2 linked regions of the Stegostoma tigrinum genome follow. The protein of the gene in region 2 interacts with the protein of the main gene of each other region in a pairwise test. Links are inferred from orthologs where the notes say so. Each region holds a gene or a part of one and is shown on either strand. Other genes may lie near its edges. The genes, in order: vipas39 and vps33b.

Region 1 (8,285 bases), on a different chromosome or scaffold from region 2:
CTTCCTCCATTAGCTCATCCCATTTATGCACCACCCCTTGCATGAAAAAGTTCCCCCTTAGGTCCCTTTTAAATCTTTCCCCTCTCACTTTAAACCTTTCCCCTCTCACTTTAAACCTATGCCCTAGGGTTTTGGACACTCCCACCCTGGGGAGAAGACCTTGCCTATTTACCTTTTCCATGCCCCTCCTGATTTTATAAACTTCAATAATGTCACCCATCCAACACTCCAAGGAAAATAGCCCCAGCTACTCAGCCTTTCCCTAGAGCTCAAACCCTCCAAGCCTGGCAACATCCTCATAAATCTTTTCTGAACCCTTTCAAGTTTCACAACATCCTTCCTATAGAAGGGAGACCGGAATTGCACACAATACTCCTAAAGTGGCCAAACCAATGTCCTATACAGCCACATGACCTCCCAACTCCTAGATTCAATGCACTGACCGATAAAGACAATTATGCCAAACGCGTTCTGCACTGTGCTATCTACCTGCAACTCCACTTTCAAAGAACTATGAACCTGCACTCAAAGGTCTCTTTGCACAGCAACACTCCCTATGACCTTACCATTAAGCGTATAAGTCCTGCCCTGATTTGCCTTTCCAAAATGCACCACCACCTGTTTATCTAAATTACTCCTCTGCCCATTAGCCCATCTGATCAAGGTCCCATGGTATTCTAAGATAACCTTCTTCGCTGACTGCTACACCTCCAATTTTGGTGTTATCTGCAAGCTTACTATACCATACCTTCTACGTTCCCATCCAAATCATTGCTATAAATGACAAAAAGCAGTGAACCCAGTACTGATCCTTGTGGCACACCACTAAACGCAGGCCTCCAGTCTGAAAAGTAACCTTCCACCACCACCCTCTGTCTTTACCTTTGAAACAGTTATATATCCAAATAGCTAGTTCTCCCTGTATTCCGTGTGATCTAACCTTGCTAACCAGTCTACCATGAGGAATCTTATCAAATGCCTTATTGAAGTCAATATGGGTCACAACCACTGCTCTGCCCTTGTCAATCCTCTTCATTACTTCTTCAAAAAACTGAATAAAGTTAGTGAAACATAATTTTCGATGCATAAAACCCATGTAGACTACCCCCAATCCGTCCTTGCCTTTCAAACACATGTAAAACCTCAGGAATCTGTCCAACAACTTGCCTACCAGTAATGTCAGGCTCACTGGTCTATAGTGCCCTGGCTTCTCCTTATCATCTCTGGCACAATGTGAGCTAAACTTCAGTATTCTAGCACCTCACCTGTGGCTATCGATGATACAAATATCTCAGCATATGACATCTACCCAGAGCAATGTGGTTGACTCTGAAATGACATAGCAAGTCATTCAGTTCAAGGGCAATTGGGGAGAGACAACACATGCTGGCAATGCTACAGATGCCCACACCCCATGAAACAATAAAATATAAAACAATTTTTTTTTCTTTAACGGGATGCAGGCATCACTGACCAGGCAGCATTTATTGCCCATCCTTAATTGTCCAGAGGACAGTTAAGAGCCAACCGTACTGCTGTGTGGATCTGGAGTCGCGTGTAGGCCAGACCAGGTTAGGATGGCAGTTTCTTTCCCTAAAGGACATTAGTGAACCAGATGGATTTTTCCGACAATCAGCAATGGCTTCATGCTCATCATTAGACTGTTAATTCCAGATATTTTATGGGGTTCAAATTCCATCATCTGCCATGGCAGGATTCGAACCAAGTCCCCAGATCATTATCTGGGTCTCTGGATAATACCATGACATCATCGCCTTCCCAAATATTGCTCCTAACTCATACGTATGTTTACTCAAGAACGGTAAAGTCAGATGTTGCTACTAAGTAAGAAATAGGTGCTCTTAGCAATAGCATGAATACAGGTTTGGAGGTTCATACAAAAATCAAATGTGACAAAAAGGATGTCAGCCAACTAGTTTAATCTCAGTTACCAAGGAAAGGATTGGAGCTGGTAATGAGGAATCTATGATTGGACTAGGGTCAGAAAACAATTGCTTCTGTATTCCCCAGAAAGAAATTTCTGTCCATTCAGCATGGCAGTTTAGCAGTCTGATAATTGAGTGACAGTGGCAGTGTCAAAAGTGATGGTACTGAGGTGGAGCTTGGTATCAACTGTAAATATGAAAACTAATGCTGTGTGTTTGGATGATGTCACTGAGGGGCAATGTGTAGATGAGAAATAGCAGGTGGAGGGAAGGATGTAGTTGAGTAAATGAGTAGGTGCAGAAATGTTGTGGTGAACCGTTCTTTGTTTTTAACCTTCAGGACATGTTGCCCAGTTCTTGAGCCTTGAAGTTCGACCAACGAGGGAAAATTCTTGCTGTCTACTATCTTTATACCTCAATCTTGAATGCTATCAAATCTCACTTCAATCTTCTCTTTCCACAGGGAGGTAAATCTATCCACACACATGTATCCACTCCAGAACCTTCACAATCTTTCTAAAGTTTGGAACCCAGTGACATATTTTCAGATACCTGAGTACCAGCATGATACCTGTTGTGGTCATGTCCAGTGTAACTGTCTGAGACCTCATGGGTTGATTAATTGCCATCATTACTTCTTATTGATGTTACCCCATATTACTGATATCAAGTGACGGAAGGATGCTTCTGCAATGTCTTTGGCAGAAAAGAGGCTTGGTCTGGATGAACAGAGTAGGTTTTTGACATACTTCTTAATAGCAAGTTACAAAGTATCTGAATTACATGACAGTCTCTTAGACCAGACATAAAAATGTATATGTTATGCTAGCTGCATAGATTTAGCACTAGGACAGTAATAACCAAGCTGTGTGGTAATTTTGAAACTGGTTACCTCATCCCAGGAAGTGTCCTGATGGGTGGAGTTTATTTATGGTAAAAACTGAAAGTGAAGAAACTTGGCAGAATCAGCAGCATCTGTGGAGATAAAAACAGAGTCCATTATAAATTTTCTTTAGAGCTTTAGGGGCTGCAAATGTGATGGGTTCTGTGCTTTAGAAAAAGGGAGGAAAGTAGCAAGTAAAACGTAAATGCACCCCAGAGTAAAAGTCAAAGAGCATGCCAATAGTAATGGAGAAAAGATATAGATGGGAGGTAGGTATTAATGGTAGTTGTTAATAGTAGAAAAAAGGTCAGCTGTACTGAAAACAAACCCTTACAGGCAAGATGCTGTGGTAATCAAAACAAAGGACGAAGTTCATGGTCTGATGTTGTCCAGCTCAATGTTGAATCCTGGAGACCGTAAAGTGCCTAAGTGGAAAGACAGCTGGTGTTTATCCAGCTTGTAATCGGCTTCACTGGAACACTGCAGTATGCATAGGCCAAAAATGTTGGTGTGAGAGCAAGATTGCATATTGAAATGGAACCAGAGATCAAGGTCATTCTTGAGTCAAAAGCAAGGGTGTTCTGCAAAATGGTCACATGGTCTGCATTTGGCATTGGCAGTGCAGAGGAGACTGCATTGTGAGCAGCAAGTACGATAGACTAGATTGAATAAAGTGCAAGAAAATTGTTGCTTCAAATGGAATAACTGTTTGGGGCTTTGGACAGTGAAAGAGATGGGGCAAAGAGTTAAATGTTATACCTTCTGTTATTTCATGAATAGGCACCATGGAGCAGTGAAGAGCTGTTAGGAGTGAAGCAGGAATGACCCAGAGTTTCCTGTACAGGCGCACATGGCAGCAATGGAGAATGGTACTTCCAAATGCAGAGACTGGTGGAATGGGAAAATGAGGACAAGGCAGGCCTTTTGCTGCTCTGGGAGGAAGAAGTAGGAGGAAATGGATTGAACACAGCTAAGAGTCAACCGTAGTGGTTATGGAAGGTGGCATCATTGGAACAAATGAGACTGAGTTAGAGAAACGAGGCAAATGGACTAGAAACCAGGTGTGAGGAAGCGTAGTCAAGATGGCTGTGGGAGACAGTGAATAGATAGCCTAACTCACGATATAGAAACAGACAAGTCAAGGAGGGGAGACAAGTATCTGAACAGGACCAGGTGAAGATGAGAGAAATATGGAAATTGGAAGCAAAATTAAATGTTTCCAACTCATAGTATCAATGCAGTAATCAATGAAAGCAATCTGGTTGGAGGCTCCAAGCAGGACTGGAAATTTTTAAATATCAAGGAGGCTGGCATAACTGGGACAATTAACTGTTAGCTGACGATGCCAGGCCTGCTGAGTGAATTATAGAATCCCTACATTGCAGAAAGAGGCCAGTCAGCCCAACTAACCCTCCAAAGTCCATCCCACTCAAACCTTATCAGCATAACTCCCGCTTTTACCATGACTAATCCATGTAGCCTGCACATCCATGGACTCTACAGGGCAAGTTAGCATGGTCAATCCACCTAACCTGTACATCTTTGGACTGTGGGAGGATGCTGGAGAAGCTGGCAGAAACCCATGCAGACCTGGGGAGAAGATGCAAACTCCATACAGACAGTCAACTGAGGCTAGAATCAAACCTGGGTGCCAGGCACTGAGAGGCAACAGCGCTAACCCATGAGCCACTTGCTGTCCACCAAGGAATTTCTGGTTTTGTTTGTTTCAGATCTCCAGCATTTGCAATTGTTTTTATCAACTGTTAGAACCCATATGCGTGCACATAGTCATTAAAGAAAAGAATGTGAGATGAGTTAAAGGAAAAATTGTTCAAAGTGAGAATGAGTTTGTGATGTCAGTTAAACCGGTTAACAGGTATCAGATGCCTAATACAAAAGAATTGGAGTCAATACTCCATTTGAGGCCATGTTTTATAAAGCCTCATTATAAATTTTCGTCTTCTGTTTTCTCCCTCTATTAAAGCCCAGGTTCGTGTGAGCTTTTGTAATCACATTCTCCACTCCATTTTAACAGCGTAAATACTCCTAATTCTCCCTATTCCTCTACTTTTCCAAATAAATTTTCGGCATTAAATGGAAGTGTCTGCCTATTTTAAATGATATGTTTTTGCACAGTGAGGGTTGGGCCAGGGAAGGAGAAATGAAAAACAGAAGCTTTTGGTTTAAAAGAAAAGGTACAGACGCGAAATAAATAAGAAAACTATAGCTTGCTTGGAAATGTCTGTCTAACCAGGAGCTCAGGCACCCTTTAAGTAAAAGTCACCGATCCGACACGGGATCAATTCATCGCTGCACCTATTGTACAACAGCATAATACATCCCTGAAGTGAAACTCTGGCGACGATACTCTCATGGAAAAACCACAATAGAGAGAGAGAGAGAGAAAGAACAAAATCCAAGTTTTGCTGGTGAGGCCTAAACCTGATTTTTCATTTTCTTCTCCTCTTCTCGGATAGTGGTGGCAAACTCCTAACTGCACCGAAATCCCGAACCCTCGCAAGGGCTGACGGGGGTTGTAGTCTGCGGGTCCGATCGGAAACTACAGTTCCGGGCTTCGGTGCGTGCGCACAGCAGTCGAAGACCTACCAGTTTCTGAGGGGTTGATGCCGGGAAGTGAGTGAGTTCAGGGGTGAGTGAAGAGGGGAGGACGTTAATTTACTTTGTGTAAACACTGGTCCAGTAGACAGATTATCAAGGTGAACGTGGCGGTATGAGACAGAAAATGGGCTCTGTATGAGCTGAGATGACGGGAACTGCAGATAACCCAGACCTGAGTCAAGTATGTCAGCCTGAGTGACCAGCTATCAGCCTGTGTCCTGAAATTGCCCTTGTCCGTCCGGAACACGGAAAGGTAGGTAAGCCCCTCCAGAAGGTCATCTTCCAACATTAAACTGGCATTGTTTTAAGAGACCAGGTGTCCCATGCTGACGTTTTATATTTTGCTTAAAGTCAGGTCCCAATGTACTTCCTCCCCCTCTTTAAAAAGTACCAGTTACTATCCAACCGATTTTCAGCTTTCTTCCTCCATGTATGTAGCCGGAACCCCATTCCCCCCCTCCCCTCCCCGACATCGGATTGCAGTCTTGCAGCCTACCTGTCGATATCCTCTCCCAGTTTACTGTCAAGGTAGATTGAGTCAGTTTGTGCCCTTTTCAGGAGGGTGGAAGTTTCATTCCACATGCGTACACTCTGGTCTGCCAGAGGTTGTGACTGGCAGGAAATGTCATGGTTGATTACATTGCTCTTTGTTATGCCTCCACTGCTGCCTTGCCTGCAATGAGCTAACTGGGATAGTTTGTGCATTCCTCTTAAGTCACCAATGAACCCTTGCAGCAAGAACTTTTCAAAGAACGCAGAAACCTCAGTATCAGTTAAGCTTGGGGACCATTCCTGTATTTTATAAACATTATGATTAATTTCCATCCTTGTTTTCAAATTCATGCATGGTCTTGCCTGCCCTATCTCTAATCTCCATTTGTGGTGTTACGGGGCCTCAGTGCTGGATGTGAGTTTGCTCGCTGAGCTGGAGCTCACTGATGTTACCTATAATGGTGACGAAACGTCTGAGCTCACTGATGATGTTACCTAGAATGGTGACAAAACGTCTGAAAACTAACCTTCCAGCTCAGCGAGCAAACTCACATCCAGAACCTCAACCTGAGCTACAAATCTTCTCAAAACTCGCTGGGGCCTCAGTGGTTAGCACCATTGCCAGGGACCAAGGTTTGATTCCACCCCAGGATAACTGTTGGTTTTTTCCCACAGTCCAGAGTTGTGCAGGCTATGTAGATTAGCCGTGGGAAACGCAGGGTCACAGGAATAGGGTAATTTGATTAGATTAGATTACTTACAGTGTGGAAACAGGCCCTTCCGCCCAGCAAGTCCACACTGCCCCTTGAAGCATCCTACCCAGACCTGTCCCCCTGTAACCCACACACCCCTGAACACTACTGGCAATTTAGCATGGCCAATCCACCTAGCCTGCACATCTTTGGACTGTGGGAGGAAACCGGAGCACCCAGAGGAAACCCACACAGACAGTCACCCAGGGCTGGATTCGAGCCCGGGTCCCTGGCGCTGTGAGGCTGCAGTGCTAACCACTGAGCCACCGTGCCACCCAAATGCTTTATGGAGAGTCAGTGTAGAATTGATGGGCTGAATGGCTTGCTTCCACACTGTAGGATTCTATGATTTCCACAGCCCTCCAATTATCTGCACTAAATTAATTTCAGTTCCTTTTGCATTCCCAGTTATAATGTATCCACCGTTTGTGGTTGGACCTGTAGTTGCCTACACCCCAGGCTCCAAAACACTCTTCTGAAAGATGCCACCTGTAGGTTGCAGGAACAGCAACCTTGCTTTCTTTCTTTACAAAAATTCTTAATAGCTAACTCTTTGACAAAGCCTTTGGTCAGCTGATCTATTATCACATTATGTGGCAGGTGTAATACTTGGTTTTATGCAGCTTCTATGAAGTACATTTCGTGGTTTCATTACAGGCACAATGTAAATATAAGTTATTAATTTAATTTTTTCAGTTTTTCTATATTTGCAGATGAGCAGAACTAAAAATGATGAAGAAGATTATTGGAACAGTACAAAATGCAAAGCTTTTGTATTTGATGATGATGATGAATTTACAGAGGTGAGTAAATTGCCTGCATTTAAATTCCTAGGTCCCAAGAACCTTGTCTGCCTTCTGGAGAGACCACTCTCTCCGTGACTCCCTTGTCTGCTCCACACTCCCCTCCAACCCCACCACACCCGGCACCATACCCTGCAACTGCAGGAAGTGCTACACTTGCCCCCACACTACCTCCCTCACCCCCATCCCAGGCCCCAAGATGACCTTCCGTATCAAGCAGATGTTCATCTGCACATCTGCCAATGTGGTATACTGCATCCGTTGTACACGTTGTGGCATCCTCTACATTGGGGAAACGAAGCGGAGACTTGGGGACCGCTTTGCAGAACATCTACACTTGGTTCACAGTAAACATCTGCACCTCCCCGATGCGAACCATTTCAACTCTCCCTCGCATTCGTGAGATGACATGTCCATCCTGGGCCTCCTGCAGTGCCATAATGCCAACCTGTAGGTTGCAGGAACAGCAACTCATATTCCGCTTGGGAACCCTGCAGCCCAATGGTATCAATGTGGATTTCACCAGCTTCAAAATCCACCCCCCCCCCCCCCCCCCCCCAGCATCCCAAACCAGCCCAGCTCGTCCCAGCTTATCTAACCTGTTCTTCCTCTCACCTATCCCCTCCTCCCACCTCAAGCTGCAACTCCATTTCCTACTTACTAACCTCATCCCGCTCCCTTGACCTATCCATCCTCCCAGGACTGACCTATCCCCTCCCTACCTCACCTCTCCTCTCCACCTATCTTCTCCTCTATCCATCTTCAGTCCGCCTCCTCCTCTCTCCCTATT
Region 2 (7,473 bases):
TTTAAACAGAGCATCATTGCACTGTATTAACGTATCGGCTTTGGGTTTATAGCACAAAACCATGCTGTTCAGCATAACCATTCTGCCTGTGTTTATGATCTGTGCATATCGCCTTCCACTTTGCACAAAGTAAAATACTCCAAATGCTAGAGATCTGAGATAAGCATAGATAAACTGGAGAACCTCAGCAGGTCTGGCAGCATTGGTGAAGACAGAAATGGTTAACATTTCAGCTCAATGTCATTTCATCTTACTCCTACTCACCATTCCAGCACAGCATTCTAAAAATGTTCCTTTCACAAGGTTCAGTCAGGGCATTTGGAAAGGAATTAAATGGTTCTCTGAAACACAAGGTTGGGCACAATGATGGGCAAGTGGTAGGGGAATGGCATGAAGCGAGCTGTTCATTCGGAGAGCCAGTGCAGACACGATGGGCCAAATGACCCCCCTTTCAATCTGTAACAATTTTGTGATACATCATTATGAAAGACGCTGACCATGCTACACTCCCTCAGTCTCACCTTAGACTATGTATTCCAGTCCTAGGTGAAGTGTGAAAATTCAGAGCTGAGTATGTTAGTACATGGCTCATTGGGGCCAAAACAACAATTGAACTGTGATGTGTGGAACAACTGAGATTTATCTTTCTGTTTCTCACCTTTTGTCAAGGCCGCACTTCTGCACGACACTGTTGAAGATACGGACACTACGTTTACAGAGATTGCAGAGAGGTTTGGAGAGAAGGTGAGGAGTATTGTTGCTGAAGTGACAGACGATAAGTCTCTATCAAAGGAGAAACGGAAGGAGTTACAGATCCAACATGCCCCTCACTGCAGCTACGAAGCTAAACTAGTGAAACTGGCAGATAAACTGTACAACCTGAGGGATCTCAAACGCTGCACTCCAGCAGGTCAGCAATGCAGTCCTTTTTGTTTTTCTCCTACCAGGTTCCCAGCGCATGTATAATTGTTATTGTGTTCCCTGAGTCCTAGCAATTATTCTTTCATCATCTCTACAGGAAAGCACAGCCTGAGTTCCCAGTCCCTCCCTGCATGTTGGGTAAACCCCACTTCAGCATACAAACTAGACTGGCAATGCAGTGCAGAAGTGGAGGAATGCTGCACTGTCAGAGCTGTGAGCCTTAGGAAAGAGCCCTGCCTACCTATTATGGTGGCTCAGATATGGTAATTAGCTAAATCTATGAGGAGCCGTTGCCATTATGCTCTCATTGAGAGAGAAAAATGGTTTTATAGCATCAAGGCATGGGCTTAGGTCTCCATGAACTACCGCAGTTTCCAAGGAATTCAAGCTGTGCAGTTGGCACCATTCTGCACCACACTCTGAGTCATAGAGTTATAGACGTTTACAGCACGGAAACAGGCCATTTAGCCCAACTCATTCATGGTTTCTAACTAACAGAGCTAACCAAACCCCACAGTGGCTAAAGTAAATGTTGAATGATATTATTTGAAGAACCAAGATTAGCCCCAGGGTCTGGGCCGAGGAATAGAATGGGAAAGAACAGAGGGTTCGGGTACCTGTGGAGGGAATGGACTTGACTTTTGCTCTGCTGAATCCCTTTTCAGGATGGACAGAGAAACGCGTTGAACAATATTTCATCTGGGCTTCCCAAGTGGTTGCTGGACTTCGAGGAACGAATCAGATCCTTGAAAAGAGCCTGGATGCACTTTTCAAAGAAAGAAATATTCTTACTGGATAATGAGGTTTTGTTTGAAATTGATTACATTTTAAGATAGAAGATCGTGCAGTACTTTACCATTAGGTCTATCATTGTGGAATGAAGTTTTAAATGACAAGATAATAATCTCTAAATTTAAATATTCAAGAATGTCCTTGATGATCAGATTGAATGAATATATCAATGCTGCTCATTTACCTTGTGCTGTGAATCCCTCCCTGTTTTATTGTCTTTAAAATAAAACATTTTTGTTCTGTGGGTTACTATTCTTCTATCATCACATCTTTATTTTGATGCTAAATGATTGATTTTTGACACATTTTAAAATGTACCTTGTAATTTTCATCCATAAAGATCTTGATAGCAGGTACATTTTATATGGGAGGGTGTTTCTCAATTCTTTTCATCCAACACGTGCAAACCCAACTCCATGTTTGAGTCTTCACCCTGAACTATTAAGGAATCCACACAAAAAGAATTTCAGTTTGCCAGAGGTGACAACACATTAATTCAGTATGGAAACTGTACTTTGTATAAATTCAGAGAACTTAGGCACCCGTTTATAGATCCAAGGAGGTCCTCAACCAACACACAAGTACCTCAGGAGGTTAGAAAGGCCCAGCCAACTGATACAGAGGGCTGGTAAGCCTCCTGAAAACTGCTCCAACCAGACCTTCCCTACATATTATAGCATTGGCTTGCACAGTTCTGTGCAGGTAAGCTGCCATTGATTGGTTCACCAGGTTGAATTAACAACAAGTCTAATTAGTTGCTAATGTTCTGGAATGTCTGCCTGGCTCCCACAGAATCTCCAAATGCTTACGTATCTTCCTTAGCAAGGATATCTTCTCCTTACAGCATGGCAGCATGATGGCTTAGTGGTTAGCACTCCAGCCTCACAGCACCCAGGGACCCAGGTTCGATTCTGCCCTCAGCAACTGTCTATGTGGGTTTCCTCCCACAGTTCAAAGATGCACAGATTAGGTGGGTTAGCTATGGGAAATGCAGGGTTATGTGGATAGGGTAGGGGGTGATCAGGCTCAGTGTGGACTCTGGGCCAAATACTCTGCTTCCACACTGTAGGAATTTTATAATTCTAAGGATAGTGCTTAAATTAAGGACTGTTTGTTCAAGAAGTCCATTATTTTCATTGACTCAGGCACCCGTGGTTCACGGTAGCAGTTTGCAATTTGAGACAGTTTTCCTGTACTTCACCTCCATATGTTACTGTACAGCATCAGGGCCATTTTATGATAAGATCGGACCATTCCTCATTTAGTACATCCACATCGATAGCTGCAAGGATGGTGGAAGTGCAGTGAGGATCTTGCAACTGCTCCTGGGTTTGCAGGCTTAATTAAAATTTATTATAGTTTTGGTACAGGTGTTATATTTCACGATAAAATACATTTGGACAAGTCCGTGAATAGGAAAGATTTGGGGGTATATAAGCCTGGAGCAGACAGGTGGGACCAGCGTAGTTTGGTGATTATGTTTGGCATGGGCTGGTTGGACTAAAGGGTCTGTTTCCATACTGTATGACTCTGTGACTCTAAGAGTGGGAGTGGGCAACCTGAGGCAGCTGGCAGGAGCAAGAACAGGAACAGGCTGCAAGGTGGCAAGAGCTGGCAGTGCAGGTCAAGGTCGAGCCCTTGAGTACAAGCCCAGCATGGCCATGTACTTACAGACTGAGGTGTTGAACTGCAAACTGTGTTTCTTTGTTTTTCCACGTTTTAGTAAGAAGGATTGTAATGTTTATCTTTTTTTACTTTGTTTTTCTGCTTTGTAGCTAATTGTTTTTGTACTTAAGATAGTACCATTATGTTGACACTTGTAAACCTCATTGTGCTCATGTGAGTACGTGACAATAAATCTTTTTCAATTCAAGGCTAGCCCATACCACGACTATCATCTCTTTAAGGGATGTAATTGAAAAAGAAGATTCTCCAGCATCGGCAGTTCCTACTATCTCATTTAAAAAGAATGTTTTTTTCTCATGCAGACATGTCAAACCTTTTCCGCAATTAACTGGTGTTTTTTAGAAATGTGTAACACCCAGTAGTGTAAAACTTCATGGAGAGGATAAACTGATGAAGCATAACCTGCTAGGTTGGAATCAGGACACATCGGCGAGTCTCCTTAACTTGGTCGTAATGAAGAGTTACCAACATTGGGGAAATGTTAGGGATTGGGATGGAAAGATTGATGTAGAGTGAATGGAGTTGTGGTTTGTGTTCAGCTGTGAGTTTGATCTCCCCAGTTGGCTTACTGTGTAAACCCAGCAAAGTGGTGACCAGTTATAGAGATAATGGGAACTGCAGATGCTGGAGAATGGTCATGGTAAGGAGTGCTACAAAAAACATAACACTTCGTGTATTGCTCACTGTTATCAGAAAGTATCTGAGTGCAGGCTCCAGCTGAGCTGAGGTTTGGGCTCCAGTTTAAGCAGAAGCAGAACAATTGCCCCCCAGTTCCCCGGCTCTGGCTGTAAACAGTGACTCCATGTGAGGCCTACTGTTCCCGGGGAAGACTGCGCGCCGGTTGCTAGGAGACGCGGCGCCGGAAGCGCCAAACATGACCCCGGAAGCGGCTCCTTGGGATAAGATGGCGGGCCGCTGGGATGCTCCAGAGCTGCCGGATTTCGACGTCTTGAAAAGAATCGCCAGGGATCAACTCATTTACTTACTGGAGCAGGTGGGAGAAAGGCTGACATCTTCCGGGGAGGGGAGGGCGTGACATGCCGGGGTGGGTGATAAGTGACACGGCTAGAGGGGAAAGGAGGGTGTGACCCCCCCGGCCGTTTGGGAGGGAGACAGGGAGACGGTGACGCCGGTAGTGTAGTGTAGTGAGAGGCGGTTTATAGCCCATACGGTAATGTTTAGCGTGTGGGGGTGGGGGGAAGAAGCGATGGAGTGACCCCTGGTGGGATGAGTTGACCGATGGATAAGAAAAACGGACGGGTTGACCCTTGGGGGAGGGGTTATTGAGTGAATGTGATCTATATGGACTTCAGTAAGGCGTTTGATAAGGTTCCTCATGGTAAGCTGGCTAGCAAGGTTAGATCGCATGGACAACAGAGAGAACTGTCCACCGACTCCCACAGCTACCTAGAATACACCTCCTCCCACCCACCCTCCTGCAAAAATTCCATCCCCTATTCCCAATTCCTCCGCCTCCGCCTCATCTGCTCCCACGACAAGACATTCCACTCCCGCACATCCCAGATGTCCAAGTTCTTTAAGGACCGCAACTTTCCCCCCACAGTGATCGAGAACGCCCTTGACCGCGTCTCCCGTATTTCCCGCAACAAATCCCTCACACCCCGCCCCCGCCACAACCGCCCCAAGAGGATCCCCCTCGTTCTCACACACCACCCCACCAACCTCCGGATACAACGCATCATCCTCCGACACTTCCGCCATCTACAATCCGACCCCACCACCCAAGACATTTTTCCATCCCCACCCCTGTCTGCTTTCCGGAGAGACCACTCTCTCCGTGACTCCCTTGTTCGCTCCACACTGCCCTCCAACCCCACCACACCCGGCACCTTCCCCTGCAACCGCAGGAAATGCTACACTTGCTCCCTCCCTCCCTCACCCCTATCCCAGGCCCCAAGATGACATTCCACATTAAGCAGAGGTTCACCTGCACATCTGCCAATGTGGTATACTGCATCCACTGTACCCGGTGTGGCTTCCTCTACATTGGGGAAACCAAGCGGAGGCTTGGGGACCGCTTTGCAGAACACCTCCACTCAGTTCGCAACAAACAACTGCACCTCCCAGTCGCAAACCATTTCCACTCCCCCTCCCATTCTTTAGATGACATGTCCATCATGGGCCTCCTGCAGTGCCACAATGATGCCACCCGAAGGTTGCAGGAACAGCAACTCATATTCTGTCTGGGAACCCTGCAGCCTAATGGTATCAATGTGGACTTCACCAGTTTCAAAATCTCCCCTTCTCCCACCGCATCCCTAAACCAGCCCAGTTCGTTCCCCTCCCCCCACTGCACCTCACAACCAGCCCAGCTCTTCCCCTCCACCCACTGCATCCCAAAACCAGTCCAACCTGTCTCCGCCTCCCTAACCTGTTCTTCCTCTCACCCATCCCTTTCTCCCACCCCAAGCCGCACCCTCATCTACCTACTAACCTCATCCCACCTCCTTGACCTGTCTGTCTTCCCTGGACTGACCTATCCCCTCCCTACCTCTCCACCTATCTTCTTTTCTCTCCATCTTCGGTCCGCCTCCCCCTCTCTCCCTATTTATTCCAGAACCCTCACCCCATCCCCCTCTCTGATGAAGGGTCTAGGCCCGAAACGTCAGCTTTTGTGCTCCTGAGATGCTGCTTGGCCTGCTGTGTTCATCCAGCCTCACATTTTATTATCTTAGAGAGAACTAGCTGTTTGGATACAGAACTGGTTCAACAGTAAAAGACAGGGGGTCGTGGTGGACGGTTGCTTTTCAGACTGGAGGCCTGTGCCCAGGGATGTGCCACAAGGATTGGTGCTGGGTCCACTGCTTATCATCACTTATATAAATGATTTGGCTGTGAACATAGAAGGTATGTTTGTAACTTTGCAGATTATGCTAAAATTGATAGGGAAGAAAGTTACCTCCGAGTACAATGGGATCTTAATCAGATGGATCAATGAGTCAAGGAGTGGCAGATGGAGTTTAATTTAGATAAATCCTGAGGTGTTGCATTTTGGAAAGGCAAATCAGGTCAGGACTTATACACTTAATGGTAACGTCCTGGGGAGTGTTGCTGAATAAAGAGACGTAGGAGTGGAGGTTCATAGTTTCTTGAAAGTGGAGTTGTAAGTAGATAGTGAAGAAGGTATTTGGTATGCTTGCCTTTGTTGGTCAGTACGTTGAGTATAGGAGTTGGGAGGTCATGTTGCGGCTGCACAGGAGATTGGTTCAGCCACTTTTGGCAAATTGTGTGCAATTCTGGTCTCCCTCATATGGGAAGGACGTTGTGAAACTTGAAAGGACTTAGAAAAGATTTACAAGGATGTTGCCTGGTTTGGAGAGTTCGAGCTATAGGGAGAGGCTGAATAGGCTGGGGCTATTTTCCCTACAGCGTTAGAGACTGAGGGGTGACCTTACAGATGTTGATAAAACCATGAGGGGCTTGGCCAGGGTAAATAGGCAAGGTCTTTCCTGCAGGGTTGGGGAGTCCAAAACTAGAGGGCATAAGTTTAAGGTGAGAGGGGAAACATATAAACGGGACCTAAGGGACAACTTTTTCATGCAGAGGGTGGTGTGTATACAGAATGAGCTGTGAGAAGTGGTGGAATCTGGTACAATTATAACTTTTTAAAAGCATCCGGATGGTATATGAATAGGAAGGGTTTGGAGGGATTATGGGCCAAATGCTGATAAATGGGACTAAATTTAAATAGGATTTCTGGTCGGCTGGGACGAGCTGGCCCAAAGGGTCTGTTTCAATGCTGTGTATCTCTATGACTGTATGAATGATAAGAGGGACAGGCGAAAGTGATGGGCCGAGTGTTCATTTCCATATTGACTCTTGGAAGGACCAATGGAGTTGACTCTGTTATGATTGGAGCATTTTTCAATACACAGAAGTGGTATTTTAAGAAAATAAAAACACAGAGCTGTGACAGTTCCTCATTTCCATTCCTTCTCCTGTTTAATGGAATTTCTGTGTTGTTAGTTACCAGGAAAGAAGGATTTGTTTATTGAAGCTGATTTGATGAGCCCTCTGGACCGCATTGCAAATGTCTCCATCCTGAAGGTCAGT

Evidence for each region.
Region 1: the proteins of vps33b (region 2) and vipas39 interact in binary tests that used the Homo sapiens proteins (3 or more experiments, as listed by UniProt). The link is inferred for Stegostoma tigrinum from reciprocal best matches to the Homo sapiens genes VPS33B and VIPAS39.

Annotation. Positions count from the first base shown.
Region 1 is NC_081363.1:14,199,758-14,208,042, reverse strand, and holds the start of vipas39 (spermatogenesis-defective protein 39 homolog), read left to right. Parts: upstream 1-5,215; 5' UTR 5,216-5,258; intron 5,259-5,271; exon of another isoform or gene 5,272-5,363; intron 5,364-5,410; exon of another isoform or gene 5,411-5,705; intron 5,706-7,388; exon of another isoform or gene 7,389-7,405; coding exon 7,406-7,495; intron 7,496-8,285.
Region 2 is NC_081389.1:22,273,679-22,281,151, reverse strand, and holds the start of vps33b (vacuolar protein sorting-associated protein 33B), read left to right. Parts: upstream 1-4,261; 5' UTR 4,262-4,273; coding exon 4,274-4,393; intron 4,394-7,386; coding exon 7,387-7,467; intron 7,468-7,473. Other genes in the region: hddc3 (guanosine-3',5'-bis(diphosphate) 3'-pyrophosphohydrolase MESH1), read left to right, coding at 670-910, 1,587-1,720. UniProt on the Homo sapiens protein: May play a role in vesicle-mediated protein trafficking to lysosomal compartments and in membrane docking/fusion reactions of late endosomes/lysosomes.